Linked DNA regions of Anolis sagrei. The protein of the gene in region 2 purifies or fractionates together with the protein of the main gene of each other region. This does not show direct contact. Links are inferred from orthologs where the notes say so. Each region holds a gene or a part of one and is shown on either strand. Other genes may lie near its edges. The genes, in order: DDX42, FUS, LARP1 and HNRNPU.

The links.
Region 1: the proteins of FUS (region 2) and DDX42 purify together in Homo sapiens (affinity purification with mass spectrometry; 3 studies listed by BioGRID and IntAct, with this or other methods). This does not show direct contact. The link is inferred for Anolis sagrei from reciprocal best matches to the Homo sapiens genes FUS and DDX42.
Region 3: the proteins of FUS (region 2) and LARP1 purify together in Homo sapiens (affinity purification with mass spectrometry; 3 studies listed by BioGRID and IntAct, with this or other methods). This does not show direct contact. The link is inferred for Anolis sagrei from reciprocal best matches to the Homo sapiens genes FUS and LARP1.
Region 4: the proteins of FUS (region 2) and HNRNPU purify together in Homo sapiens (affinity purification with mass spectrometry; 7 studies listed by BioGRID and IntAct, with this or other methods). This does not show direct contact. The link is inferred for Anolis sagrei from reciprocal best matches to the Homo sapiens genes FUS and HNRNPU.

What each region holds. Positions count from the first base shown.
Region 1 is NC_090026.1:29,726,696-29,734,279, forward strand, and holds the start of DDX42 (ATP-dependent RNA helicase DDX42), read right to left. Parts: upstream 3,015-7,584; 5' UTR 2,878-3,014; exon of another isoform or gene 2,874-2,877; intron 2,701-2,873; 5' UTR 2,623-2,700; intron 1-2,622. UniProt on the Homo sapiens protein: ATP-dependent RNA helicase that binds to partially double-stranded RNAs (dsRNAs) in order to unwind RNA secondary structures. Unwinding is promoted in the presence of single-strand binding proteins.
Region 2 is NC_090026.1:14,970,334-14,977,831, reverse strand, and holds the start of FUS (RNA-binding protein FUS), read right to left. Parts: upstream 3,022-7,498; 5' UTR 2,930-3,021; coding exon 2,917-2,929; intron 1-2,916. UniProt on the Homo sapiens protein: DNA/RNA-binding protein that plays a role in various cellular processes such as transcription regulation, RNA splicing, RNA transport, DNA repair and damage response. Binds to ssRNA containing the consensus sequence 5'-AGGUAA-3'.
Region 3 is NC_090022.1:81,925,973-81,933,506, forward strand, and holds the start of LARP1 (la-related protein 1), read right to left. Parts: upstream 3,022-7,534; 5' UTR 2,831-3,021; coding exon 2,335-2,830; intron 1-2,334. UniProt on the Homo sapiens protein: RNA-binding protein that regulates the translation of specific target mRNA species downstream of the mTORC1 complex, in function of growth signals and nutrient availability.
Region 4 is NC_090021.1:54,921,069-54,928,065, forward strand, and holds the start of HNRNPU (heterogeneous nuclear ribonucleoprotein U), read left to right. Parts: upstream 1-3,992; 5' UTR 3,993-4,209; coding exon 4,210-4,918; intron 4,919-5,622; coding exon 5,623-5,740; intron 5,741-5,959; coding exon 5,960-6,033; intron 6,034-6,997. UniProt on the Homo sapiens protein: DNA- and RNA-binding protein involved in several cellular processes such as nuclear chromatin organization, telomere-length regulation, transcription, mRNA alternative splicing and stability, Xist-mediated transcriptional silencing and mitotic cell progression.

The DNA.
Region 1 (7,584 bases), about 15 Mb from region 2:
GTCTGGATGGGGGCGAACAAATTGAAATTGAATCCAGACAAGACAGAGGTACTCCTGGTCAGTCGCAGGGCCGAACAGGGTATAGGGTTACAGCCTGTGTTAGACGGGGTCGCACTCCCCCTGAAGACACAGGTTCGCAGTTTGGGTGTGATCCTGGACTCATCGCTGAGCCTGGATCCCCAGGTTTCGGCGGTGACCAGGGGAGCATTCGCACAGTTAAGACTCGTGCGCCAACTGCGACCGTACCTTGGGAAGTCTGACTTGGCCACGGTAGTCCACGCTCTGGTTACATCCCGCCTTGACTACTGCAACGCTCTCTACGTGGGGTTGCCTTTGAAGACGGCCCGGAAGCTCCAATTAGTCCAACGGGCGGCAGCCATGGTATTAACAGGAGCAGGGCGCAGGGAGCATACAACTCCTCTGCTGTACCAGCTCCACTGGCTACCGATTAGCTACCGAGCCCAATTCAAAGTGCTGGCTTTGACCTTTAAAGCCCTAAATGGTTCTGGCCCTACATACCTATCCGAACGTATCTCGGCCTATCAGCCCACCAGGACCCTAAGATCTTCAGGAGAAGCCCTTCTCTCCATCCCGCCTGCTTCACAAGTGCGGCTTGCGGGAACGAGAGATAGGGCCTTTTCTGTGGTGGCCCCCCGGCTTTGGAATGCCCTCCCTACTGAAATAAGATCAGCCACCTCGCTAATGGCATTTCGGAAAAAACTGAAAACTTGGATGTTCGAGCAAGTTTTCAACTAATTCCGATGTGATGATGTTTTGATCATGGACTAGCAATCAAGGATAACGAATTGGATTACGACTTTAACTATGAGATGTTCCGGTCTGTATTGGTGGCCCAATACTATGTATGTATATGTATGTATTTTTATATTTTATTTTATATTTTTAAAGTGAATATTGTATTTTTAAATATGTTGTAAACCGCAATGAGTCGCCGCACAGGCTGAGATATTAGCGGTATACAAGTGTACTAAATAAATAAATAAATAAATAAATAAATATCTGTGTGTGTGTGTGTGAATCATATATATCTATCTACATCTATGGCTAGATGGCTCATTGTCAGGAGGGTCGGGTTCAGCTGTTAGGAATTGCGGGAGCTGAAGTCCAAAATATTTGGAGGAGCTGAGTTTGAGAGGCTGGTGGGGACGAGGGACAGGGCCTTCTCGGTGGTGGCCCCTCGCCTGTGGAATTCACTCCCCGGGGAAATTAGGTCATCAGCATCCCTCCTCTCTTTCCTCTCTTTCAGAAGGAAGTTAAAAACCTGGATATGGGACCAGGCCTTTGGGTAAGCTGGCAGATGGATAAAGGACAATGACAACCAGAGTAGGAAAGGATAATGCTGGATGGACTATGGATTTATGAATTGGCGAACATTGACCACAAGATGATTTTATTGCTGCTATTGTATTAATTGGATTGTTTTAACTAGTTATAGTTGTTGTTGTTATATTTTATTTTGTGAACTGTTAGGCATCGAATTGTGCCTTTTGTAAGCCGCCCTGAGTCCCCCCTAGGGGATTGAGAAGGGTGGGGTATAAGCGCTCGAAATAAATAAATAAATTGAGAAACACTATTCTAAATGATTAAAGGCATACTTTGCTCTCTCATTTACCCAATGACCTATGAAACTGGAATAACAGTCACTTTTCAGTGTAGGGTTATTTATTTATTTATTTATTTATAGTGTCAGTGCAACCAGTTGATTATATTACATTTCTAACAGAACAAAGCAAAAAAAAACCCAGACAAAATACTAAAAGTGTAGGGTGAGCAGTCATGAATGAAGGTAAGTCTGAGGGTGCATCTACACCAGGCATGGACAAATTTGGTCCCTCCTTGTGTTTTGGACTTTAACCCCCACACTTCCTAACAGCCATAGGTTGTTAGGAATTGTGGGATTTGAAGTCCAAAACACCTGGGGGGGGGGGGAGTTTGCCAGATTTACGCTATATAATTAATGCAGTTTCACATCACCATAACTGCCAGTGCACAATGCTTGAGGATCCTGGGAGTTGTGATTTGGTGAGACAACCGCATTCTTAGACAGCGAAGGCTTACAAAGCGTACAGTTCCAATAGCAGTTCCAAGTCATGTCAAACTGCATTAATTCTATGTATTGTCGAAGGCTTTCATGGCTGGAATCACTCAGTTCTTGTGGGTTTTTTCGGGCTATATGGCCATGTTCTAGAGGCATTTCTCCTGACGTTTCGCCTGCATCTATGGCAAGCATCCTCAGAGGTAGTGAGGTCTACTGGAACTAGTTTGCTCCAGGCACAGTCAGCCCATTGTATGCTAATCAAGGTGGTCAGTTGAAAGATTAACACCTAGCCCAACTTACAAAAGCCCTTTGTCTCACCCTGGTCATTCCACAGATATATAAACCCTTTTTCCTAGTTCCAGCAGACCTCACTACCTCTGAGGATGCTTGCCATAGATGCAGGCGAAACGTCAGGAGAAATGCCTCTAGAACATGGCCATATAGCACGAAAAAAACCCACAAGAACTGAGTGCATTAATTCTGTCATGGAGATGCACCCTGAGGCCGCTTGGATCAGGACCTCTGGAGGAAGCCGCTTTCCCCCGTCGCCTCAGTGTCAATACCTGCTCAAGCTTCACGCCTACTTGGTCACCTTTGGCAAGAGTCCGGCGGATTCCTCTGGAGGCGAGAGACCAGGTCGCCTGGCGGAGGGGAGACAAACAGAACGGGATCAGCTCCAAAGGCTTCTGTGGCTCCGCTAGGCCGCAGCCCCGCCCCCTTCCCCTTCCTTCTTCCCCAGCGACCCCACAAGGCCTGGCAGCGCTTCCTGCGCCTTTACTTCCTTTCCCCCAGTGTTTATTTCCCCGCTTCTTACCCACCACCTTGTGTGACACTTCCTTTTTCCGCCCTTTCTCCCGCCGTCCCTCAGAACTCCACTCTTTTACTACGAGGGAAGAAACGGGGCGCGACGTTGGCCACCGTGACGCGATGACGTCACCGCGCAACGGCTCGCTCGCGCTGTCCTCCTCCGTGGTGACGCCATCGACAGTGGCGGCTGCTTACGTTATAAGTAGGCGCAGCACCGTAGAGTCAGAAGAAAGAGTCACACGTGCCTTTATTTCCTTATGGGCTCTTTTAAGCAGGAGGAGGCTTGTGTAGAGCTCTGGTTAATTAGGGCTTTCCGTATTTCATTTTATTATTTTGTTCCTTCAAAGCCTCTTCCACACAGCTCTAAAAAATCCACATTGAGCTGGATTATATACGTGGGGTTGCCTTTGAAGACGGCTCGGAAGCTCTAACTAGTCCAACGCTCGGCAGCCATGATAGTAACAGGAGCAGAGCGCAGGGAGCACACAACTCCTCTGCTGCACCAGCTCCACTGGCTCCCGATTTGCTACCGGGCTCAATTCAAAGTGCAGGCGCTGGCCTATAAAGCCCTAAACGGTTCTGGCCCAAGTTACCTATCCGAACGTATCTCTGCCTATCAGCCCGCCAGGACCCTAAGATCTTCTGGGGAGGCCCTGCTCTCTATCCCGCCTGCTTCACAGGTGCGGCTGGCGGGGACGAGAGACAGGGCCTTTTCTGTGGTGGCCCCTCGGCTGTGGAACGCCCTCCCTATGGAGGTTAGATCAGCCCCCTCACTAATGGTGTTCCGAAGAAGATTAAAAACTTGGATGTTTGAACAGGCATTCAGATAAACAGTGCAATGAATGTGATGATTACAGGAATGGAAATTTGGACGACGAATTGGATCACGACTCTAGTTATAAGATGTATTGTGTTTGTTTATTGTTGTGTCAATATTGTATACTATGCTCTTATGGTTTTAAATTGTATATCGTTGATTGATTTTATCCTTGTTATAAACCTTGTTTATCCTTGTTGTAAACCGCGTTGAGTCGCCTGTTGGGCTGAGAAACTGCGGTATACAAGTAAAGTAAATAAATAAATAATATGGCAATGTGGATTCAGGGCCCTTACACACAGCCCTACATCTCAGAATATCAAGGCAGAAAATCCCACAATATATGCTTTGAACTGGGTTATCTGACCCCCTTCCACACAGTTAAATAAAATCCCACATCTGCTTTGAAATGGAATATATAATAATAATAATAATAATAATAATAAACTTTTATTTATATCCCGCTACCATCTCCCCATTGGGGCCCCCGGTGGCGCAGTGGGTTAAAGCACTGAGCTGCTGAGCTTGTTGATCGAAAGGTCACAGGTTCGATTCCGGGGAGCGGCGTGAGCTTCCGCTGTCAGCCCTAGCTTCTGCCAACCTAGCAGTTCGAAAACATGCAAATGTGAGTAGATCAATAGGTACCGCTCCGACGGGAAGGTAACGGCGCTCCATGTAGTCATGCCAGCCACACGAACTTGGAGGTGTCTACGACAACGCTGGCTCTTCGGCTTAGAAATGGAGAGTCAGACATGACTGGACTTAATGTCAGGGGGCTACCTTTACCTTACCATCTCCCCAGGGGACTCGGTGCGGCTTACATGAGGCCGAGCCCAGAATACAACAATACAAGCAATAACAACAACAATGGAAGCAATTAAAATCAAACAAAACAATAAAACAATAATATAAGCATTAACAATAGGCCCACACACTTTAAAATCTATGGGTAGGCCAAATGTAATTAAAATTTAAAAATAATGCTGGACATGGGTGAAAAAGTGATGGGGCGTTTGGAGGACAAAGTGCTATGGGATCATTATTCTGGGAAAGCACACTGGAACAACCACGTCTTCAAGCTCCTCCTAAAGACTGCCGAGTTGGGGCATGCCTGATGTCCTTAGGAAGTGAGTTCCAGGGTCAAGGGGCCACCACCGAAAAGGCCCTCTCACGCTTGCGATGCAGGTGGGAGCGTGAGCAGGGCCTCTCCAGGTGATCGAAGAGATCGTGTGGGTTCGTATACAGAAATGTGGTCACGCAGGTAGACGGGTCCCAAACCGTTCAGGGCTTTGCAGGTGAGAACCTGCACCTTGAATTGGGTCCGGAAAATGAATGGCAGCCAGTGGAGCTCCTTAAACAGGAGGGTTGACCGCTCCTTGTAAGGAGCCCCGGTTAACAACCTGGCTGCCGCCCGTTGGACCATCAAGGGCAGCCCCACGTAGAGTGCATTACAGTAATCCAGTCTAGAGGTGACTTAAGGCATGGACCACCCTGGCCTATATGGCAATATGGATTCAGATAACCCAGTTCAAAGCAGATATTGTGGGATTTTCTGCCTTGATATTCTGGAATACAGGGCTGTGTGGACAGGCCCTGAGTCTACACTGCCATATCTTCCAGTTCAAAGCAGATAATATGGGATTTTATTTGACTGTGTGGAAGGGGCCACAGATGATCCAGTTCAAAACAGATATTGTCGATTATTTGACTTGATATTCTGGATTATATGGCTATGTGGAAGGGCCCCAAATTATTCCCCAATTGTAGCAATCCTAAAGTCCTAATCTAGGGTTCTTCCATCCAGCCATATAACCCAGAATATCAAGGTAGATAATCCACAATATCTGCTTTAAACTGGGTTATCAGAATCCACACTGCCATGTTATCCAATTCAATGTGGATGTTATACAGCTGTGTGGAAAGGGCCCCAGTTCAAAGCAGATATTGTGGATTGTCTGCCTTGAAATTCTGGGTTATATGGCTGAGTGGAAGAGGTCATAGTACAAAGTTTGCTTGGAAGATTTGTCCAAATGAGATTTGCCTTCCTCTGAGGTTGAAAGAGCATGACTTGTCAGCCAGTGGGTTTCAATGGCAAAGCAGGGATTCAAACCCAGGCCTCCAGAGTTAGTCTCCTTCTACACTGTCATATAATCCAGATTATCCAAGCAGATAATCCACATTAACTCCTTTGAAGTGGATTATATACATCTTGTTGTTGTTGTTCATTCGTTCAGTCATATCTGACTCTTCGTGACCTCATGGACCAGCCCACGCCAGAGCTCCCTGTCGGCCGTTACCACCCCCAGCTCCCTCAAGGTCAGTCCAGTCACTTCAAGGATGCCATCCATCCATCTTGCCCTTGGTCGGCCCCTCTTCCTTTTGCCTTCCACTTTCCCCAGCATAATTGTCTTCTCTATATACATCTAACCTGCCATATAAACCAGTTCAAAGTAAATATTCTTGATTATATGGCAGTGTAGATCGTTACTTTTTTTTATTCGTATCACCAAGCAGCAGCCAGTCTGCTTCACTCCTGTTCTTCTTCAGTCATGTGACAAAGGGCCACTTCACATTGCAGCAGCTTTTTTTTTATCGTGTAAGGAGTAACTTGAGAAACTGCAAGCCGCTTCTGGTAGTCGCTTCTGGTATGAGAGAATTGGCCGTCTGCAAGGACGTTGCCCAGTGGATGTCCGGATGATTTGATGTTTTCTATCATCCTTGTGGGAGGCTTCTCTCATGTCCCCGCATGAGGAGCTGGAGCTGATAGAGGGAGCTCATCCGCCTCTCCCCGGATTCGAACCTGCAACCTGTCGGTCTTCAGTCCTGCCGGCACAGGGGTTTAACCCACTGCGCCACCAGGGGCTCCACCAGGGGCAGCAGCTAATCCCCTTCATTCCTTTTCTTTCCCTATGTTCTTGACTTTATAAGGTTCAAACCCCTCAATTATTTTAAATTGGACCATGAAAAGTGTGTGTGCCAAATTTGGCCCAGATCCATCAAACCAAGTAAGAGCCTTTGTAGCATAAACTGACATACATACATACTTTGACACACACATATAGATCAGAGGTTAATTGAAATTTGAATCTGTGCCACTAATAACTATTGGGTAGGACTGATAAGACAAATAGCTGTCAGTAGTCCGAAAGGCTATCTGATAGCTATGTCTAGCTATCAATGCAAATCAGGCTTTTCAGTTTATGTTTACACCCTGTGGCTGGATCTATTCTGTCATATAAAATTCAGATCATCTGTTTTGAACTGGATTATATGGCAATGTAGACTCATATAATCCAACCATAGATGATACGTTGTGGGTTCTAAGGCCCCTTCTACACTGTCATATAATCCAGATTATCAAAGCAGATAATCCACATTTGCTTTGAAATGTATTATATGAAGTCCCTTCTACACAGCTGTATAAAATCCCACATTAACTGGATTATATGGCAGTGTGGACTTAGATAACTCAGTTAAGTGGATATTATGGATTATCTGCCTTGATATTCTGGGTTATATGACTGTGTGGAAGGGCCATCAAGGCCAAAAATCACACAATAGACAATCTACATTATCTGCTTTGAACTGGATTACAGGAGTCTATACTGCCAAAGCAGGTAATCTGGATTTTGTACAGCAGTGTAAAAAGGGCCATAGCTGTATTGTTTTTAAGGTTGTGAGCCTTAAAAAGCTTCAAGCCTAATTTAAAAGAGGAAAGTGGGGTAAAATAAATATCATTATCACCATCACATTTTTATAATTATTTATATTTTAATCTCCTTTATTGCACTTTGAGATTTCAAGAATAGCAAAATAAATAACCATATAAATAATGAAACGGAGGTATTCCTGAAAAAGATGTATATCTTACTGTAGTATGAGATTTTAGTAAGTAAGAATA
Region 2 (7,498 bases):
CTACATAATGCAGCTTGAAATTGCATTATATGGGTAGCGTAGACTCACATCATGCAGCTCAACACAATTAAACTGCATTATATAGCAGTGTAAATGAGGCCAGACAGCTAGGAAGAGAAGCTACACAAGTCCCTCTTGTTCCACCACATTATTTGTTCTGTGTGTCTCGGGGACAAGTCACAACATTCTACCAAAATAGAATAAACAAACATAAACAAGCGCACACACAAATGGAGGACAGGAAAATTCACAGAGGCCTGAGGCATGTTCGAGCAGGCATTTGATTAAGCAGTATAATTGAATATAGGAATATGGAATAATGGATGATGAGATTGGATTCGGATTTTACTGATGAGATACTAATGATTGTTATATTGATGTTTTATCGTTGATGATGCTACTGTTTTAACTGTCCCATATTTGTTTTGTGATGTTTTTGCATTGAATTTTGCTGTTGTTAACCGCTTTGAGTCGCCTGAGGGCTGAGAAAAGCGGTATATAAATGAAGTAAATAATAAATAATTATCCTAATCCAATTTCTACAAAACAGATACACTGCCTTTGTGCAGGAAGACAAAATCAACATCTTTCCCCTTGAGTCACAACTATAGCTTTTTCTAGAACAGTCATGGCCAAACTTGGGCCCTCCAGATGTTTTGGACTTCAACTCCCATCATTCCTAACAGCCTCATCTGAGGGGGTAAAAGGAAAGGGCTTGAGGCTGTTAGGAATGGTGGGAGTTGAAGTCCAAAACACATGGAGGGCCTAAGTTTGGCCATGGCTGCTCTATGAACGCCTTCATTGGGGAGGAGAAAAAATTACATTGTATTATAGAATCATAGAATCAAAGAGTTGGAAGAGACCTCATGGGCCATCCAGTCCAACCCCCTGCCAAGAAGTAGGAATATTGCATTCAAATCACCCCTGACAGATGGCCATCCAGCCTCTGTTTAAAAGCTTTCAAAGAAGGAGCCTCCACCACACTCTGGGGCAGAGAGTTCCACTGCTGAACGGCTCTCACAGTCAGGAAGTTCTTCCTCATGTTCAGATGGAATCTCCTCTCTTGTAGTTTGAAGCCATTGTTCCGCGTCCTAGCCTCCAGGCCAGCAGAAAACAAGCTTGCTCCCTCCTCCCTGTGGCTTCCTCTCACATATTTATATATTGCTATCATATCCCCTCTCAGCCTTCTCTTCTTCAGGATAAACATGCCCAGCTCCTTAAGCCGCTCCTCATAGGGCTTGTTCTCCAGACCCTTTATCATTTTAGTCGCTCTCCTCTGGACACATTCCAGCTTGTCAATATCTCTCTTGAATTGTGGTGCCCAGAATTTGACACAATATTCCAGGTGTGGTCTAACCAAAGCAGAATAGAGCATGGGTAGCATGACTTCCCTAGATCTAGACACATTATGGATCAGGAAATGCTGTAAAAAGAAGCAAACCCACCCATGGGCCTCCAGAGTTATTTATATATATGTGTCTGTGTGTATGAGAAGTCGCCCCCACACAAGTAGAGGCTGCTGAGGTAACAAAGAATAGAAGAGCTGGAATCAGAACCATCAGCGCTTTAAATGAGAAGTCAAAGGGGCTTCCTGCGCATGCGCGGATCCCGCGAAGAGGGCAAAAAAAATGACAGTTGAGCTCGTGGGCGGTGAAGAGAATGACTCAACGGGGTGGACAACGTTCCAAAGGAATGGGGAAGGGCAAGGGCCCGGATGTAACACTGCGACAAACAGCCTTGTATACGCATGCGCAAGCTTTTCTTTCCCCAGCGCATGCGCGCGCCGCTCCTTCCTCTCCTAACTAAGCATCTGAAACGCCGGCACACACCTCGAGTACTTTTCCATTGTCTATTCCTCCCCCTCAGCGTGTTCACTCGCGCATGCGCAGCTGCCGAACACTGCCCGTGTGTCGTTGCCATGGGGAGCCCCGTCTCCTTCCCCTCCCTATAAAAGCCCAGCCCTCCCTCGCGCTCCTTCCAGAGCGGAACTGCCCCTCCTCGTGGCCTAGTTCTCACGCTGGCACAAAATGGCGGCGAATAATGGCGCAGTTCAAGATCTCTTCCTTCTAGACAGCCAAAAGCGACCGGCATGGCCTCCGAATATTACCCCTTAGTATATAAACCCAACCATAATACTATTTCCATATGAAACCGCTATTTAAGGGGCCTTTCGCTCCGTAAAATGGAAGTCACCCTATTCAAATGGGGTACAAAATGGCCTCCGTTGTAATAATACCCAATCTGTTCTTGTGCGTTTTTTCGGGCTATATGGCCAGAGGGTGGGGTGACTGGGGTGGGGCCAAGAGCTCTTCTCTGCTGGAGCTAGGTGTGAATGTTTCACCTCTCAACAAAAGATTCTCCCAGGCTCAGCCAGGCCTTCAAATGCTAATGAAGGTGGTCAGTTGAAACAGTCACACCTAGCTCCAGCAGACAAGAGTTCTTTGCCTCACCCTGGTCTTCCCACAGATATATAAACCCATTGTCCTAGTTCTATCAGACCTCACTACCTCTGAGGATGCTTGCCATAGATGCAGGCGAAACGTCAGGAGAAAATGCCTCTAGAACATGACCATATAGCCCGAAAAAACCCACAAGAACCTATTGATTCCAGCCATGAAAGCCTTCGACAATACAATACCCAATCTATTTCGCAATAAAGATCTATGCATGTAAAGGAATCGTGTAACCCCCAGAGAAAGGGAAAACACATCCTAGGAGACCCAATCCCTTTGAAAATCCTATTCCAACCCCATTGCAATCTTTAGTTTTAGTTTATCAGAACCAAGAATACAACCATTGAATCTTAATTCCTCCTGGTGAGTCAAACTCGCTGATTCAATGGCTCCACTCTGGATTCAAGCATTGCACCCGCTACAAAATTCAATATATTACACCCTTTTGTATCCTCTTCCTCACCGTTAGACGCCATTGCTGTAGACCCCTCCAAGTCTCCCCCCAAAGCGGCCAAAAGCAACCTTCCTTCCCGTCTCCTTGCCTCCGAGCGCTTTCCCAGCCCGCTCTTTCCTTTATATACTTCCCCCTCCCATTCAGCCTTTAGGCCGAACCATGTTAGTTTGTGGGGGGAGAGCCGAGAATAGACATCGTTTCCTCTCCCCACTAAACTGAACAACTCGCCGCCATCTCCTCCCAAAGAATCCCAAGCTAATATCAATCATTGATTTAAATAATTAACAGGCGAGGTTAATTCACGGGACTGGTTTCCAACAGAATGGGATTCCAACCCCCCCCCTACCGCACTGAAATGGTACAGTCCATATAGAACGGAGGTTAGGGTGAGCTCACAGAGGAAGACTGGAAGCAACCAAATTGGCAAAGAAGGGGGTCAGAAAAGGAAGAAGCAAAATAAATAAATAAATGGGAAATTGCTTCTGAAGACAAACAAGACATTTTCTCCAGTGGATTATAATATATTTAACGACTCCTATATTGTTGTTGTTATTTGCAGCCCGTTTACACTACATTCTTTTCCTGCTTCTTAGCAGGGGGGTTGGTCTAAATGGCCCACGAGGTCTCTTCCAGCTCAATGATTCTATGAAAAGAATCTCAGCACCAATTAAAATCCAAAAATATACAAACATTAAAATATTTATTTATTTACTATATTTATCCCCTGCCCCCTCTCACCCCGAAGAGGATTCAGAGCGCTTATATGTACATACTATCTATCTATCTATCTATCTATCTATCTATATAAATGCTCTGTGCATAATGCGTACCATAAAAAGAAAAGAACCAATGAGCGAAATCACACCAAATTTGGCAACAAAATGTCTCACTACACAAGGAGTGACCATCAATCAAAAATTACGATTTTGTCATTTGGGAGTTGTAGTTGCTGGGATTTATAGCTCAGCTACAATCAAAGAGCATTCTGAACTCCACCAACGATAGAATTGAACCACAGAACTCCCATGACCAACAGAAAATACTGGAAGGGTTTGGAGAGCATTGACCTTGAGTTTGGGAGTTGTAGTTCACCTATATCCACAAGGCACTGTGGACTCAAACAATGATGGATCTGGACCAAATTTGGCATGAATACTCAATATGCCCAAATATAAACACAGATGGAGTTTGGGGGAAATAAACCTTGACATTTGGGAGTTGTAGTTACTGGGATTTATAGTTCACCTACAATCAAGGAGCATTTCAAACCTCACCAACGATGGAATTGGGCCAAACATCCCACACAAAACCCCCATGACCGACAGGAAATACTGTGTTTCCTGGTGGTCTTTGGGGACCCTTCTGACACCCCCCTGGTGACCCCCCCCCCCCCCGGGTGTATTGACTTCCCAGGTTGAGAAATGCTGCCTTAAGGTCATCCAGCCCAGCTCCCTTCACCAGGGCAACAAAACAAAGCCTCCTGACAAAGGGCCATCCAGCCATTCACACACACACATATATGTATATGACAGATGCAGTATCAAAGATTTGAAAGGGACCCCTAAAGAAGGACAATGATATGTTACATGTTCCAGAGTAGGCAAACCAGACAATCTCCACATCAACACTGGCAAAGAAACAACGAGAAATACTGTTTACCCTCAAGCATAAAGACATTACATATATTAGAAACCAACACATTCTCATTACTTCATATCCAGATCACCAGACTGGGCCACAGCAACGCGTGGCAGGGGACAGCTAGTGTCTTATATTATTAGCCTAGCACAATATTGGCATTATATATTACTATATTGTACTATGCCACTATACTGTAATATCATTAGTAATGTTACACGTAATATATAATATATAAGTAATATTATTGTATTTTATTATTGTTGTTCATTCGTTCAGTCATTTCCGACTCTTTGTGACCTCATGGACCAGCCCATGCCAGAGCTCCCTGTCGGCCGTCACCACCCCCAGCTCCTTCAAGGTCAGTCCAGTCACTTCAAAGATGCCATCCATCCATCTTGCCCTTGGTCGGCCCCTCTTCCTTTTACCTTCCACTTTCCCCAGCATCATTGTCTTCTCTAGGCTTTCCTGTCTCCTCATGATGTGGCCAAAGTACTTCAACTTTGCCTCTAGTATCCTTCCCTCCAATGAGCAGTCGGGCTTTGTTTCCTGGAGGATGGACTGGTTGGATCTTCTTACAGTCCAAGGCACTCTTAGAATTTTCCTCACTACAGCTCAAAAGCATCTACTTTTGCTCAGTCTTCCTTATGGTTCAGCTCTCACATCCATAGGTTACTACGGGGAATACCATTGCATTATCTATGTGGATCTTTGTTGCCAGTGTGATGTCTCTACTCTTTATTATTTTATCAATTTTGGTCATTGCTCTCCTCCCAAGAAGTAAATATCTTCTGATTTCCTGGCTGCAAGAAACCCTGTTTCCCTTCCCCATCAAAATCCATAGCACCCTTGCAGCTGACTAGTGCCAAAATGCCAGGGCTTCCCAGTCCTTGGTGATTATAAAGTAAAGGTAAAGGTTCCCCCCGATATTAAGTCTAGTTGTGTCCGACTCTGGGGGTTGTTGCTCATCTCCATGTGTAAGCCGAAGAGTCGGCGTTGTCTATAGACACCTCCAAGGTCATGTGGCCGGAATGACTGCATGGAGCACCATTACCTTTCTGCCAGAGTAGTACCTATTGATCAACTCACATTTGCATGTTTTCGAACTGCTAGGTTGCAAGAAGCTGAGGCTAACAGCAGGAGCTCACACCACTCCCCGGATTTGCACCTGCGACCTTTCGATCAAGTTCAGCAGCTCAGCAGTTTAAATATATAGTACTATATTGTTGCTGGGGGGAAGAGCCCCCAAATGAGGGCACAGGAGATAAGGTGGAACTGTCTTCCTGGCCTCCCCTCCTCACTCTAACCCCAGAGCAGCAGTTGGTGCTGGGGGGAGGGCCCCTCGACTGATGGTACAGAAATAGAAACATCAATGGTATTAATTAAAATTAACAGGTAAAATCCTAACGAAATGCTTTGGACCAAAAGTATTTTTGATTTCAGTTTTCATTCCCAGATAGCTAGATAGATAGATTTCATGAGATATATTGGAGATGGGACTCAAGACTAAAATCAAAATTCATTTATGTTTAATATACACTTTGCATAAATAGTCTGAAGATAATTTTCTATTTATAATTTAATAATTTTGTGCCTTAATATAAAGCTGGTGTACACTGAATCAACAGAAGCCACCCATGTGGACAATTTTGCAGCATCTTTCAGATTTCTGGATAAAGAACTTGTGTTTCAAAGGAAGTAATTGGCCCCCACTGAATAAATGGAGGCATTAATATTTCACAAACTAGATTTTACACTTGAATCTGTACTGTATGCCATACAAGGATAAGCACCTTCTAGAGTTTTGATATAATCATCATCATCCCAGGCGACAGCAGGATTGATGAGAAGCAACTGGAAAAGCTTAGATATGAGGATTTAAATAACTGCAAAGACTCTGGCACAAGCCAGTAAAGGTGATCCCAGGGGTGATCAGCATACTGAGTGCAGTAGCTAAAGACCTTGGCCTGCACTTAAAAACAATCAGCGCTGATAAAAATTACCATCTGTCAGCTGCAAAAGGCCACCCTACTGGCATCTGCATGCATTATTAGCCGATACATCACACAATCCTAGACACTTGGGAAGTGTCCGGCATGTGATCTAATACAAAAGCCAGTATAGTAATCTTGTTTGCTGTGTACTAATTTTGGTTTGTATCAAATAATAATAACAACAACAACAGCAACAATTTCGCTGGACTGGCCATGTTGTCTGAATGCCCAAAGCAGGTACTATACTCCCAACTCAAGAATGGAAAATGGAATGTTGGTGGACAGGAAAAGAGAGTTAAAGATGGGCTTAAAGCCAACCTTAAAAACTGTGGCATAGACACAGAGAACTGGGAAGCCTGGCCCTTGAGCTTTATCTCTCCTGAAGGGGAATCCTAACAGCTGGTAAACTGACTGGAATTTCTGGGAGTTGTAGGCCAAACCACCTGGGGACCCACAGGCTGAGAACTATTAAAACAAAATCAAAGTTAAGTTCATAGAATCATAGAATCAAAGAGTTGGAAGAGACCTCATGGGCCATCCAGTCCAACCCCCTGCCAAGAAGCAGGAATATTGCATTCAAATCACCCCTGACAAATGGCCATCCAGCCTCTGCTTAAAAGCTTCCAAAGAAGGAGCCTCCACCACACTCCAGGGCAGAGAGTTCCACTGCTGAACGGCTCTCACAGTCAGGAAGTTCTTCCTAATGTTCAGATGGAATCTCCTCTCTTGTAGTTTGAAGCCATTGTTCCGCGTCCTAGTCTCCAAGGAAGCAGAAAACAAGCTTGCTCCCTCCTCCCTGTGGCTTCCTCTCACATATTTATACATGGCTATCATATCTCCTCTCAGCCTTCTCTTCTTCAGGCTAAACATGCCCAGTTCCCTAAGTTGTTGTAACTCAGTGGTTCCCAACCTTTTTTTGACCAGGGACCACTTTGACCAGGGATCACTCTCCAACATTA
Region 3 (7,534 bases), on a different chromosome or scaffold from region 2:
ACAGGTCTGGGCAAACTTGGGCCCTCTGGGTGTTTTGGGATTTCAACTCCCACAACTCCCAGCTGTTAGGAATTGTGGGAGCTGAAGTCCAAAACACCCATGCCTGCACTAGCATGTCCTCAAGTCCTGATTTTATTTATGCGAAATGGTGAGCAGGTGACTGCTGTTACATTCACACTGAAGTGAGCATAAGCCTCACACAGCTTATCAACCCTACTCACAAAATGGCACTGCCCTCCCACTGAACTCCAATTACAGTGGTGTGCTCTGGGGTATGGCTCCATGACTCCGGTTGATACATGGATGATGAAGCGGTTAGAAAAATGATGTCCCTTATACAAAATGGGCAAAGCAAGGGGTAGTATTTTTCAACCTGTGGGTCATTGGATCCGTGGATAGGGAGGGCAGAGTATAACAAACTAGGGCCTTTCCACACACTCAGAGTATCAAGACAGAAAATCTGCTTTGAACTGGGTTATCTTGAAGGATCACTACAATCTGAGCCCACACTGCCATATGTATATATTCCAGTTCAAAGTAGATAATGTGGGATTTTATTCTGCTATTCAATCTGAGCCCACACTGCCATATATTCCAGTTCAAAGTAGAAAATGTGGGATTTTATTCTGATATTCAGTCTGAGCCCACACTGCCATATATTCCAGTTCAATGTAGATAATGTGGGATTTGATTCTGCTATTCAGTCTGAGCCCACACTGCCATATATTCCAGTTCAAAGTCGATAATGTGGGATTTGATTCAGGCCCTAGGTAAATAAAAACGACTTTCAGTGTTAAATACTGACTCAATAGAAACAAAATGGAAAAGCCCTGTTGAGTTAACCTACATAGGGCTAAGCCCACGTGGACGTTTGGAAGACCTTTGTCCTGCATTCACCTCCTTTCCCTTCCCCCCAAGACAGGAAGGGTGGGAAGGTGGGGGGGGGGGCAGGGCGCGCGGCCCCGCTGCGGGAAAACCGCCCTCCCCGCAAAACGAACGGCAATACGTTACAGTTAGAAGTCGGCAGCCCACGCGGAAAGCGTTAGCTGAGACACTCGCCCAACTGAGAGGCCTAGCCGTTCCAACCAACCTCCCCTCCTCCTCCTCCCGCCCTTGACGTAGGCTTCCCTGCCACCTCCGCCCTCAGAGTCGAAGGGGCCCTAAAGGGGGGTGGGGAAACTCTCCCCCCCCCCCAGGATTTGGGACTGTGGGGGGGGGGGGAGAGCAGAGAGAGAAGCGGCTACCAGGTCCAAAGAACAAGCCAGGCCCCGGCTATATGAGAGTGTTCGTCACATGCTCGCTCCGAAAGAAAACCACGTTGCCTTTACTGCAGAGGAATGCCGGGAAAGGGAAGAAAAGGGAGGAAGGAAGGAAGGGAAAGGGGGAGGGGGGAGGAGAAGGACGCTCAGAACGCACAGGCGCGCGCACAGGGACAGAGGGGGGGGCGCCCCACTGGGCGGAGGAGCGTTAGGAAGGAGGCGACGGAACGCTCAAACCGCCGCCTGCACGCGGACGCCTCGAGCGCTGCGGAGGGAGGAAAGGAACCAAGGGAGGGAGGGAGGGGGGAAGAGAGAGGGAAGGAGGGAGAACTGCCGACGCCCCCTCCCTCCCTTTACTTAAAGCCGCAGGAGGAAGTCGCCAAGGCACATGGCCCTCGCGCGCAGACCCGCCCGCTCTCGCCCCAAAGCGCAAAATACACTCATCGTGTCTCCAAAAAGCGCAAAATACACCACACACACACACAAAATGGATTGGAAACGAATTGCAAGCCCCTTCCCTCCGCTGTCGTGGTGCCTCCCCTCCCCCTCTTCTTCTTAGTCTCCGCCCCAACGCCATTTAACGAGGGCTCTACCTATATTTAAGGAAAGGAAGCAGCGTGGGGAATAAAAGGGAAGGGAGCAGGAAGGGGAATCCCCACGCGCTCGTTAAAACGTGGTGGGACAGCTTAACCTCTAATGGCGAATCTGGGAGGAGGAAGAGGAGGAGGAAGGGCTCCCAAACACGAGGAAAGGGGGAGGAGGAGGAGGAAGGGGGCGCTGTTCGGGCTGCGAACCCGCCCCATTCTCTCTCCCTCCCCCCTCCCTCCAAGATGTCTGAATCACGCCAAGCCCGCATGGCCCCATCTCCTCCCCTTTGGCTCCCACTTCTGATACTCTATCAAAAGATTTCCATAAGGGTCGCGGAGGGGGAGGAAGAAGAGGAGGGCAGGGTGGGCGCCGCCGGACAAAGGCGGGGTGGAGTTTGACGGGCGAGGGAATGTCACCATCTTGCAGGAGGAGGCCAGGGAGGCTCTTATTTGGCTGTCTTCCCCCAATCGCCCCCGTGTGGACCCACCTGGAGGCGACTGCCCGTTGAGGGCGACGAGCGCGGCGGGGGCGTTCTTGGTCCAGGGGTTCACCTTGGGCGGCGGGGCCTCGATGAACTCCTTGCGCCCGACGCCGCCCTCCTCGCCGCTGGAGCTGCTGTTGCTGCTGCTGGTGGTGGTCTCGCTGCTGCTCCGCTGCTGCAGGAGGTTCTCCTTCTCCTGGTTGTTGCTCTCCTCCTTCTGCTGCTTGATGCTGGGCGGCTTCAGGAGGGCCCCGTTCCGGCGCGGATGCGGCTCGCCTTCCTTGCTGCTGCAGCAGCTGTCGGGCCCGCCGCCCTCCTTGCCGCCGCCCTCCTCCTCCTCGCCGCCACCGCCGTCGGCCTCCTTCTCTCCGCGGGGCGCGAGGCGCTGCTCTCCCTTCTCTCCCGGGGACTTCTTGAGGACGAGGCCGCCGCCCCCGCCGCCGTGCTCCTCGGAAGGCAGCAGAGGGCTGGGCGGCGGGAGGGGCTCCACCTGGGTCGCCATCTGCGCCCCGGAGCCGGCCCGCTCCCCCTTCCTCACTTCTTCCTTTCCTTGCTTGCTTGCTTCCCCCTCCTCCCTCCTTTGCAAGCCCGCCTCGCCCGAGAGCTTTCTTTCCAACCCTCTCTCGGTGAAAGGGCGCAGCGGGAGCCCCAAGACGCCGGCTTCCTGCTCTCACGCCCCCCTCCCTTTGAAGCCCAACCCCCGCCTCGCCGCCCCCCTCCCCTCCCGCTCCCCCGGTTCTCCTCTAATGCCAATGCCCCCGCCGCCGCAGCAGCAGCAATATGGAGAAGCAAGGAGACCACGCGACTGGCCCGGCCAGAGCGAGCGCGCGCGCGCAGCCAGCTCCGCCCGCGTTATCCAGGCCCGGGGAAGGAGGGAGCGCGCGCGCATACAACACACGCACACGCACAGACGCCTTCACGCAGGCAGGCGCGCGCACACACGCACGCTCACGCTCTTTCCCTTTCGCATGACGAGCGCGCCCAGGAGAGGCGGCGCGAGCCCGAGCCCCGGCGGGGCCGGCGCGTGCTGGGTGTCATAGGGAGACGCTCCTTAAAGGGGCAGCGTCGCCGCTCGGGAAGAGAGAAAGGTGGTGGTGGTGGAGGAGGCGGAGCCTTGCCTTCAAACTTCATCGCTGCCAAAGGGCCTTCTGGAGCGAAGTGCTGGCTTTCACCTCCACGGAGGGCCTACTGACTCTGATAAGAGAACCAACAGAACAAAGCCCAAAAGGGGGGAAAAAGGCCTCCCCCTGCGGAGCTGGAGAGTTCTATTTGACTTCCAAATCAAACAAAAACACGGACAAGGTCGGCCTGAAGCCACCACTACCCGATCGATCGCGTGGGGCCTGTTTCCTTGGAAGGAGCCCACCCCGCTCCAGGCAGAAACATGTGCTCAGGGTCGCAGGGCCGGGTTGGTGCTCGCTCGTTCTCTCTCTCTCTCTCTCGAGTACCAGCCTGCGAAGGGAACGTGGAGCAACCACGGCGGAATTAGCGCAGTTTGACACCGCTTTAACTGCCAGGACTCGATGGTATGGGAGCCCCGGGAGTTATAGTTTATTGTGGCGGACAAGGCCAAGCATCTCACAAAACTAAAGGACCAAGTGAGGAAAAGATGTGGGTAGCCTAAGCTGCAGTGGGCTCAGTCTACTGTTCGTCTCTCAGCGGGTAGGCCTCGGCCTGTGGGAAGGAGGCAGGGCCTACTCTTCTTTCAGCTCTAGGCTCCTCTAGTTTTGTGTTGTCTTGACAGCAAAAGAATGTTTATACCGAGTCTTTTGACCAAAGAGAGTTGCCTCCATTTGAATCCAAAGTTTTCCCTCCCCTTTGGTGAGATACCTTTTGGCAGAGAAGGTTAGAGACCTCGTAAAACTACAGCTCCCAAGATGCCAATAGCATTAACATAAAAATTCTAAAGTACAGATGTGCACATAATAATAATAATAACAATAAACCCTACCATCTCCCGCAGGCAGGACTCGATGCGGCTTACAAGAGGCCGAGCCCAAAGTACATCATTAGTAAAAACAACAAGAACAATACAATGCAAAAATAAATAACTCATAACAAAGCAGAACATTAACAAAAAACACGACAATATTAAAAACCTGTGGCAGGGCCAAATGTAATGGTTAAAATTCTAAAAATGCTGGGCATGTCCAGGTGAGGTAGAATGAATATTTTGGAAATAAAAGGGTGTGCAGACAATTCTAATTCTCTCATAAAGTGCATTAGGGACATCCTGTAGTTTCCTCAACCTATCTTATTTATATGTGTGGTATATTTTTTTTCTGAGAGAACCTCATCACACGTCAATCCACTTTAAATGCTGTGACTGCCTCCTAAACTACAAACCCCAGCATTTTGCAGGAGGCAGTCACACCATTTGAAGTGGGAAAATGCTCAAGTGTGATGAGACCCACATGCTTCTCCCCTACGTTTCACCCATACATACAGCCATCCCTCCTGACTGGGGATTTGAATATGGGCCATCCCAGGCCTAGCTATTGGACTGCCTCGCTGCCTATTCAAGTTACATGGCCTTTCGCAAAGACTGCTTCCAAGGAACTTACACTGTAAATGTCAAGCAGTGCAGGGGGGAGGAGAGAGGAGAAAGGAGAGAAACCGGCTAATTCAAGACACCACTGACTAGAAATCAGCAGTGGTTTCTGAACTCTTGTATACACAGCAATATGGACGTATGTGTCAGTTTCAAACAACAGACATTTCAGGTCAAACAGCCCTGAGGATAGATCCAGCATAGCTGTATGCAACACGTTTATTTTTTTAATCAGAAACTTTTTAATTAAGAGATTTCTTTTCATATTACCTTGTGTCTGATGTGGTAAAATTGTGTGCATTTTTTTCATGGCAAAGCTAGCGTCTGAAACAATATCAGGAAGAATACACAGAAATGTATCACGATGAGCAAGAAATTTACATTATTCTTCCAGACACACCCCTGCCAAGAGAGGGATGCAACATAAAAAGTGGCACCCCAAATGTAGATGTATTTATTCTTATACAAAAATGAAGGAAGGTTTGCATTAGTAGTCTTGACAGAGGCACTATATATAGGATTTATATTTCGCCCTTCTCACCCCAAGGGGGACTCAGGGTGCAGCACAACATATATACGGCAAACATTCAATGCCGAAACAAAATAAACTATAAATATACACAATATACACAAACACTAAAATCAGTTATCTCTAAAATCAATTGTTTAAACCCATTTCAGATCAGCCATACTAGAGCTCTCCAGCTGAGAGGTCAAAATAGTCTTCCCTAAATTGCAAATCCCAGGATTTCATAAGAAGGAACTATGGTGGTTAAAGTGTAATTGGCAGTATGACTATGTGTAGTATGAAAGGATTCTTTATGTGACCGTTTCACCTCTTGTGTCCATAATGAGTTATGATAACACTTAACAAGTAAACTTTTGTAGGCATCACTGATCACCATAAACAAGGCCTGAGCATGACTTGGCATTTTTGTTACTTATATGAACAAGCAAACACATGGGATGTCTCATAAATGACAGGACCCCGTTTTTGTTAGTAAAAACCTGAAAAGAAACATATAAAGCAAGACAATGGCAATTCTTAAGCATTTTTTTCTAATATGCAAAAAAAACAACAACAGGTAACTTGCAACTCAGTGAGTGCCCAGCCTCCAATAACACCTGACATACGTACTATTTCCCCCCCCCCTTTTTTTAAATTACACCGTAAGCCCCTTCTACACTGCCATATAATCATTATCAAATCAGATAATCCACATTATCTGCTTTGAACTGGATTATCTGAGTCTTCACTGCCATATAACCCAGTCCAAAGCAGATAATCTGGATTTTATACAGTGTGTAGAATTTGGATTTTATATAGCCTCAGGCCCTTTCTACATTTATTTATTTATTTATTGTATTTATACCCACCCTTCTCATCCCGAAGGGGACTCAGAGTGGCTTACAGAACACACATATGGCAAACATTCAATGCTGATTATACAATTAACAAGGACAGTCAGCACAAACAGAGGTAAAGCCCATTTTACTCATCTTATTTCTGGCATTTTGGACTCCAGCCATGGGGAGGAGGATGCTGTCTTTCCATCATCCATGCCAAGGAGATTTCCTCCAATCAATGTCCTTAAGGGTGCCTTAATTGCCTCCCTGCTAAAAGCGGTACCTATTTTATCTGATTACATTTCTGCTTTCGACCTGCTAGGTATGCAGGTGAGCTGGGGCTAATGGCGGGTGCTCAACCCCAACATTCTGATTTTTCTGCAGCACAGCAGTTTAGCCTGCTGTACTAAGCCTGGCCCTTGTATCTACGCTGTCCTTATATCCCAGGATTTAACCCAGGTTATCTGCTTTGAACTGGATTATACAGTATGAGTCTCCACTGCCACATAATCTGGGATAAACAGTTAAACTGGGATCAGATCCTAGTATATAGAGCTCTGTGGAAGGGGCCTCAGAAACAGTTTCTGTTTTCTTAATTCCATAGGATTCAAGAGTAATCTATAGTGTGACCATAAGACACATATTATAGTAGAGCCTTCTTTGCTGGAAATTTTGAAGGAGGAGTAAGCACTTCCCAGAATGTTGTTTTAAAAAACTGCCATTCTCTGTGGCTGCCATTTCATATGTATTATAAGTGCTATGAGTGTAGAATGGCCAGTTCCATATGCCTTTTGGTAAAGTGAAGAAAACACACATCCAGCATTCCATTTTATTCATAACTTGAGAAGCAATTGTTTCCTCTTGAATTAAGATAGAGGCAACCCTCTGGATCCATGGTTTCAGCTTGATTTTTTTTTAAATTTTACATTTATTCACATAGTTTGAAGGTAATTTTATACATTTATTTATTTATTTATTTCAATTACTTTTACCCCGCCCTTCTCACCCCAAGGGGGACTCAGGGCGACTTACAGACGAAGGCACATAATTTTGTGCATGAAACAAATGTTGTGCACATTGAACTGCCAGAATGTAAAGAGGTCACTATCTCAGCCACCCATGGAGATAATTTTAGATTTTGGAGAATTTCAGTTTTCCTGATAAAGGATACTTACTCAACCTATAATGCCTTTATAATAGCTTGTGATCAGAGCCACCAAGACCTCATTCTCACTTTATAGTAAAACTATGCCAAGAGCATAACATATCAGCACGCATGGCATTTCTCACATAATTGAATGTGAGAGA
Region 4 (6,997 bases), on a different chromosome or scaffold from region 2:
CAGCACCTTTGTGATAGGAGATATTTTGTATATTATTTCCAGAACAGAAAGCAAGCATTTATTTATCGTGTCAGAAGCAAATTGAGAATACAGTTATAATGTATAAAAAACACAAATTTAAAACTTGGCATTATGCTAGATTTCCTTTGACTAGAAGCTGACCACTTGGAATGTCTCGCATGTGGCTGTAAGGAGGTCCTCCATTGTGCATGTGGCAGGGCTCATACTGCATTGTAGAAGGTAGTCTGTGGTTTGCTCTTTTCCACACTTGCATTTCATGGACTCCTCTTTGTAGCCCCATTCCTTAAGGTTGGGTCTGCATCTCGTGGTGCCAGAGCACAATCTGTTCAGTGCCTTCCCAGTCACCCAGTCTTCTCTGTGCCCAGGAGGGAGTTTCTCATCTGGTATCAGCCACTGCTTGAGGTGCTGCATTTTAACCTGCCACTTCTGGACTCTCGCTTGCTGAGGTTTTCCTGCAAGTATCTGTAGATCTTAGGAAGCTGTTTCTTGATTTAAGACGTTGGCTTGCTGGCTGATATCCAAACAGGTGATGGGCTGGAGATGTCAATGCCTTGGTACTTTAACTGCTGGCTGCTAGTTCCTGGTGGATATCAGGTGGTGCAATACCGGCTAAACAATATAATTTCTCCAACAGTGTTGGGCATACATGTCCTGTGATAATGTGGCATGTCTCATTAAGAGCCACATCCACTGTTTTAACAGGGTGAGATGTATTCCATACTGGGCATGCGAACTCAGCAGTAGAGTAGCAAAGCGCAAGGGCAGATGTCTTAACTGTATCTGGTTGTGATCCCCAGGTTATGCCAGTCAGATTTCATATGATATTGTTTCTAGCACCCACTTTTTGCTTGATAGTCAAGCAGTGCTTTTTCTAAGTCAGAGCACAGTCCAGACTAACTTCCAGGTATTTGGGTGTGCTGCAGTGCTCCAGTGGGATTCATTCCCAGGTAATCCTGAGCTCGAGATGCTTGTCAGTTCTTAAGATGAAAAGCACATGTCTGTGTTTTAGGTGGAGTAGGAATCAGCTGGGTTTCTTTGTAATAGGCAGTAAGAGTGCCTAAAGCTTTGGGAAGCTTTAGGCACTCTTACTGCCTATTAAAGCTTGAGTGGTGATAGCACAATTGTCAGTATAGATGAAATTCTGTCCCTACTGGCAATAAGCAAGTAAGCCTCTGTATATTAATGGCTGAAGAACACAAGTTCCCACAATCATTTTAAATCTAGTTGCCTATTGTGGGAAGAGAATAAAGGATTGGGTGTACTTGGGCTGTTTATGTGACCTAGTACATCAGCATGATTTTTCTTGCAGAATGCAAGTGAATACTGGATTGTTGTGTCCAGGCTAAATGGGGCTTTATATGTGCGTGTGTGTACACACACCATGAGAAATTACGGTTCTATGACACCACATTCACTTGCAGAAAATAGCGAAGACTTTTAGAAAATACTGATGAAAATGAAAGAAGTTCAAAAGCAACGTGACAATTGAATACTATGAAGACGCAGATTATTCTCCACACCTTTGCTCAATCATTAATCAAAATGAGGAATGCTGCCAATAAACCAGAAGACTTGGAAGTGTGGCCGTGAAGGAACTTGATAAGACCCTCAAGCCTAAAGATGTATTATTAAACATCAAAGTCAGAATAATCCAGATCAAAATGGTTCTTAAGCCTGATAGGAAGAAAATCAACACATTTGAAATTTGAAGAAGAGTCCTGAGAGCTGGCATAGAGTTGCTGTTCTTAACTGCCGTCAGTCAATTTTGACTTTGACCTCAAGTCCCTCTATTGCCAGCCTCCTTTTTAAAATCTTGCTGACTCAGGACTGTGGCTTCCTTTAGTAAGAACCTATCTGGAATACTGTCCGCTTTTTCCTATTGCCTTCTAACTTAACAAGCATTATTGTCTTTTTTAGTGAGCCATGCCTTTTCATGATATGACCAAAATGGTTTCCGTTTATTCATCGAGCGAGAGTTCAGGCTTGATTTCTTCTATGGGTCATTGATTTGTCTTTTTAGCAATCCATGGTGTCCACAGAATTTTTCTTCTGCACTTTTAAAACGGAATGATATTCTTCCTATCAGTTTACCCACTGTTCAGCGCCCTTCATTCTTCAGTTTTCACAACTGTACATAGAAGTGGGGAATACAATCCCATGGTCAGTCCTAAGATACAATGATCTATTTTACACATCAGAAGTTCCTTCATAGCTGTCTTCTTCTGATTTCTTGACTGCAGGCGCCATCCTGAATATCGACCGAGCCAAAGTATGGAGAATCTTTATTTCAATGTCTTTGCTTATTTCTAAGTTATATAGTTGTCATTATTTTTAGTTTGCTCCATGTTCAACTGTAAATTTGCCTTTGCACTTTTGTCCTTGATTTTCTGCAATATTCATTCCAAGTTCTTGCTATTTTTTGCTGGTAGTACGGTATAATCTGTCTATTTTAATTTTTTGATGTCCCCTCCCTAAAGAAATTAGATTGGCCCCCACTCGAGTTCAAAAACATGGCTTTTCAGACAGGCCTTTGACCCTGTATAATCTATGATCAGCTCGAGGATCGAGTCACTCTGCACTTTGATTTGTTACGGCAAATAGCCAGCTTTATTTGCAGATTCTACTGTGGTTTAGAAAATTTTATAATCTTTTACAATTTTTATAATCTTATCAGTTGGGTTTTTATGTGCATTGTTGCTTTAATATTTATCTCACTTTATATACTACCTATGTACTGTTGTTTATAAGCACTTGGGGTGTTTCTGTGAGCCGCTCCGAGTGGTGGTGAGAAGATTTAGACCAGGGGTCCTCAAATTAAGGCCCGAGGGCCAAATACGACCCTCCAAGACTGTTTACCCGGCCCTCGCTCAGGGTCAACCACGTCTGAAATGCCTTGAAAGCATGCAACAACAACAATCCTATCTGATCGGCCAAAAGCAGCCCCACACTTCCCATTGAAATACTAATATATTTCTATTTGTTAAAATTGTTCATTTTAATTATTGTATTGTTTTAAAGTTTTTTTTGCACTACAAATAAGATGTGTGCCGTGTGCATAGGAATTCTTTTTTTTTTTTCAAATTATAATCCGGCCCTCCAACAGTTTAAGGGAATGTGACCTGGCCCCCTGTTTAAAGAGTCTGAGGACCCCTGGTTTAGACCACTTGGCATGGAATGACCCCTTTGGCAGAAAAGATCTTGTAAAACTACAGCTCCCACAAAGCCAAAGCATTGAGCCCTGGCATTTACGTGGTGCCAAACTGCATTAATTCTACAGTGTAAATGCACCCCTTGTTAAGGGGTTTCTGTTGTGTCCAATTCTGGGCACCACAATTCAAGAGAGATGTTGACAAGCTGGAATGTGTCCAGAGGAGGGCAATTAAAATGATAAAGGGTCTGGAGAACAAGCCCTATGAGGAGCGGCTTAAAGAGCTGGGTATGTTTAGCCTGAAGAAGAGAAGGCTGAGAGGAGATATGATAGCTATGTATAAAAATATGTGAAGAGGGAGCGAACTTGTTTTCTGCTTCCTTGGAGAATAGGACGCGGAACAATGGCTTCAAACTACAAGAGAGGAGATTCCATCTGAACATGAGGAAGAACTTCCTGACTGTGAGAGACGTTCAGCAGTGGAACTCTCTGCCCCGGAATGTGGTGGAAGCTCCTTCTTTGGAAGCTTTTAAACAGAGGCTGGGTGGCCATCTGTCAGGGGTGATTTGAATGCAATGTTCCTGCTTCTTGGCAGGGGGTTGGACTGGATGGCCCATGAGGTCTCTTCCAACTCTTTGATTCTATGATAAGGCCTGAAGGCTTTGGCTGCGCACTTACGGTAATGCTGCGCCAGGGCCTGCACTTACGGTAGCGGCGCGGGTGGGAGGGAGGGAGAGAGAGAGGAGGGGGAGAGAGGGAGAGCGGGAGCGCGAAGGGGCGTGGCTAGGCCATATAAGGCGCGGGGCGGGGGCGGGGCAGCGTGGCGTTGCGTGCTCGACCCCGCGAGGCGCGTCCCCGGCCCCTGCCTCGCGAGCCTTGCTGAAAGGATTTGGCGCCAGGCGGGTCTTTCCTTCCTTCCTTGCTTGCTTCCTTCCTTCTCCGCAGCCCCCGAGGAAGGTGATCCGGGCCAGCCGCCGACGTCCAGGCCGCACTCCGCTAGAGCCCCCGCCGCCCACGGAGAGGCCCTCGCCGCTATCGCCATGAGCAGCTCGCCGGTGAACGTGAAGAAGCTGAAGGTGTCGGAGCTCCGCGAGGAGCTGAAGAAGCGGCGCCTCTCCGACAAAGGCCTCAAGGCCGACCTGATGGAGCGGCTCCAGACGGCGCTGGACCGCGAGGAGGCCGGCGGCGGAGGCCTGGCCGAGCCGGGCAACGGCAACGCCGAGGAGGAGGAGGGCGGCGCGGCGGGCGGCGCCTCGGAGCAACTCCTGGCCCCGGCAGCAGGCGGCGGGCCCGGCCAGGCCGCGGCCTACGACGACGAGGAGGAGGAGGCCGAGTTCGGCGGCTGCGCGGAGGAGGAGGACGACGAGGAGGAGGGCATGGAGGTGGGCGAGGAGAACGGCGAGCGGGCCGCCGCCCGGGAGGAGGACTTGGAGGAGGAGGACGAGGACGAGAACGGCGACGACCAGGGCTTCCAGGAGGGCGAGGACGAGGAGGACGAGGCCGCCTCAGCCGCCGCGCCGGCCGGCAGCGGGACCGGGGGCGGCAATGCCAACGGCCACGGGGCCAAGGAGGCTCCCGGCGCCAAGGCAGCCGCGCCCGAGGCCTCCGCGGCTCCGGCGCCTTCGGCCCAGACCGGCGCCAAGCAGGCCTCGTCCGGGGCTCAGTCGCAATCGCAGCCGGCGGCGGCGCCTCAGCAGCAGCAGCAGGCCCAACAGCCCAAGCCCGGAGGGGCCGCGCCGCGTCCTGCGGGTGAGTCGTGCGTGGGGCCCGGATGGGCGTCGGCGGTTGGCGCCTCGGAGCGGGGTCAGGGCGAGGCGCCATCTTGGTTTTCCCCCCCTTTCCCTCCTGTTTCTGTGAAGAAGAGAAAGGGGGGGAAATCTAGGCCTCGCGCGCCAAGAGGCGCCTGTAATGGTGGTGGTGGGATGGGGGAGGGGCTTCCGCCATTTCGCGCGCGCAGGGTGGGGGGGAAGGAGAGAGAGCGCAGCGCGCAGGAGCCGCTGGGGCGCGCTGTGGAGCCCTGCGAGGAGGGAGCGCTTTCTGCCGCTTGCGTCACTTCCGCCCGTGAGGCGCTGCGGGCTCTGGTTCAAACCTTGAGCACAAAAGGAGGCGGGGGAGTCCAGGGAGAGGCAGCGCCTGCCGGAAGCCCCCGCTAGAGGGCGCCCTGACGCCACGCGGGATTTGATTTTCTGTCTTGTCGAAGGCTTTCATGACCGGAATCCCTAAGGTTTTTGGGTAGTATGGCCATGTTCCAGAAGCATTCTCTTCTGGCGTTTCGCCTTAATCTATGGTCTCACAGCCATGCCTGCCATAGATGCAGGCGAAATGTCAGGAGAGAATGCTTCTGGAACATGGCCATACATCCGGAAAACTTGGAGCAACTCATTTTGTCTGTTGTTTGCGTGACTTAATTGTATGGCTTCCAACGTTCCCTTTTTTCCCCCTCCCGCAAAAAGATAATAAAGAAGCCAAATCTGAGCAAAAATCCGGAGAGAAAAAAAGGGGAGTGAAAAGGCCACGTGAAGACCATGGACGAGGTTACTTTGAGTATATTGAGGAGAATAAATACAGCAGGTAAATATAGTAATACACAATTCTTGATATACATATATCCATATATTTTTTTATATATTCATATACATACATATATTTTAATTGTGTGTGTGTATATATATACACATACATACATTATATATATAAAATATGTATTTTTAGTTCATATATAATATCTATTTTTCATTTTTAAAATCCCTATTGATGGATTGTATTCAAGCGATTTCTTTTATTGGTTAGGGCCAAATCTCCGCAGCCACCAGTTGAAGAAGAGGATGAACACTTCGATGACACAGTGGTTTGTCTTGATACTTGTAAGTACAAAAGAAGTGTTCTTGTCTCTTCAAATACATTTTTCAGGATGACAACTGTAATGTATTCAACAGTTGCTTTTATATATTTGTATATATGGATAATATGATCATAGCAGGCATAATTTCAGCTGTAGTTCATATACTTAATATTTTCGGATGTTAGCCTGCTTTTAGTCACATTAGAGCAGGCAGGGGAAAACTTTGGCCCTCCTGGACTTCAACTCCCACAATTCCTAACGACCTCAGGCCCTTTTCCCCCTCAGCTGCTTAAGCTTGAGTGGCTGAAGGGGAAAAGGAAAGGGCCCGAGGCTGTTAGGAATTGTGGGAGTTGAAGTCCAAAACACCAGGTGGGCCAAAGTTTTCCCCTGCCTGCATTAGTCTGTTCATACTAGTGTAAAAGTCATACTAGGTCTAAAAGGCAAAGCATGAAATGAAGAATGTATATTGTCAAACCAGATTTCCATTCTGTACTTTTCCAAAAGAGCTGTTGAAAAAATAAGTTGCCTGAAAACAGCAGATTTTATCTTGTCTTTTCTGGTGTTACGTGCTGGTAGGATTCCATCTGTAATGCAAATATCTTAAATTCTGAGCTTTGCACATTTTTAAAAAACTAGAATTCTGTCAAGTATGTGGAAAAAATGGCAGGTGTGGAGTTACTCTATAGAACAGGGGTTTGAAGTCTTGACCCTGGAAACCCATTGGGTAACCTTGAGCAAGTTGTATACTCTAGAAGCCCCAGAAGGTGGCAAAGGCAAACTCGCTTCAATAGAGTATTTACCAGAAAAGCCCAGTGATGCATTCATTTTCATTAGGATTTCCACAAGTCATTAATGACTTGAAAGCACAGAATGATTTTAAGAAACAAAAGCATGATACCATATTGTTTTATCAAGAGGCCTAAATCCAAAGTTAGAAATAGGAAGTTTCATTACTGGGCAATTCAGAATAGAAAATTCCAGTACTT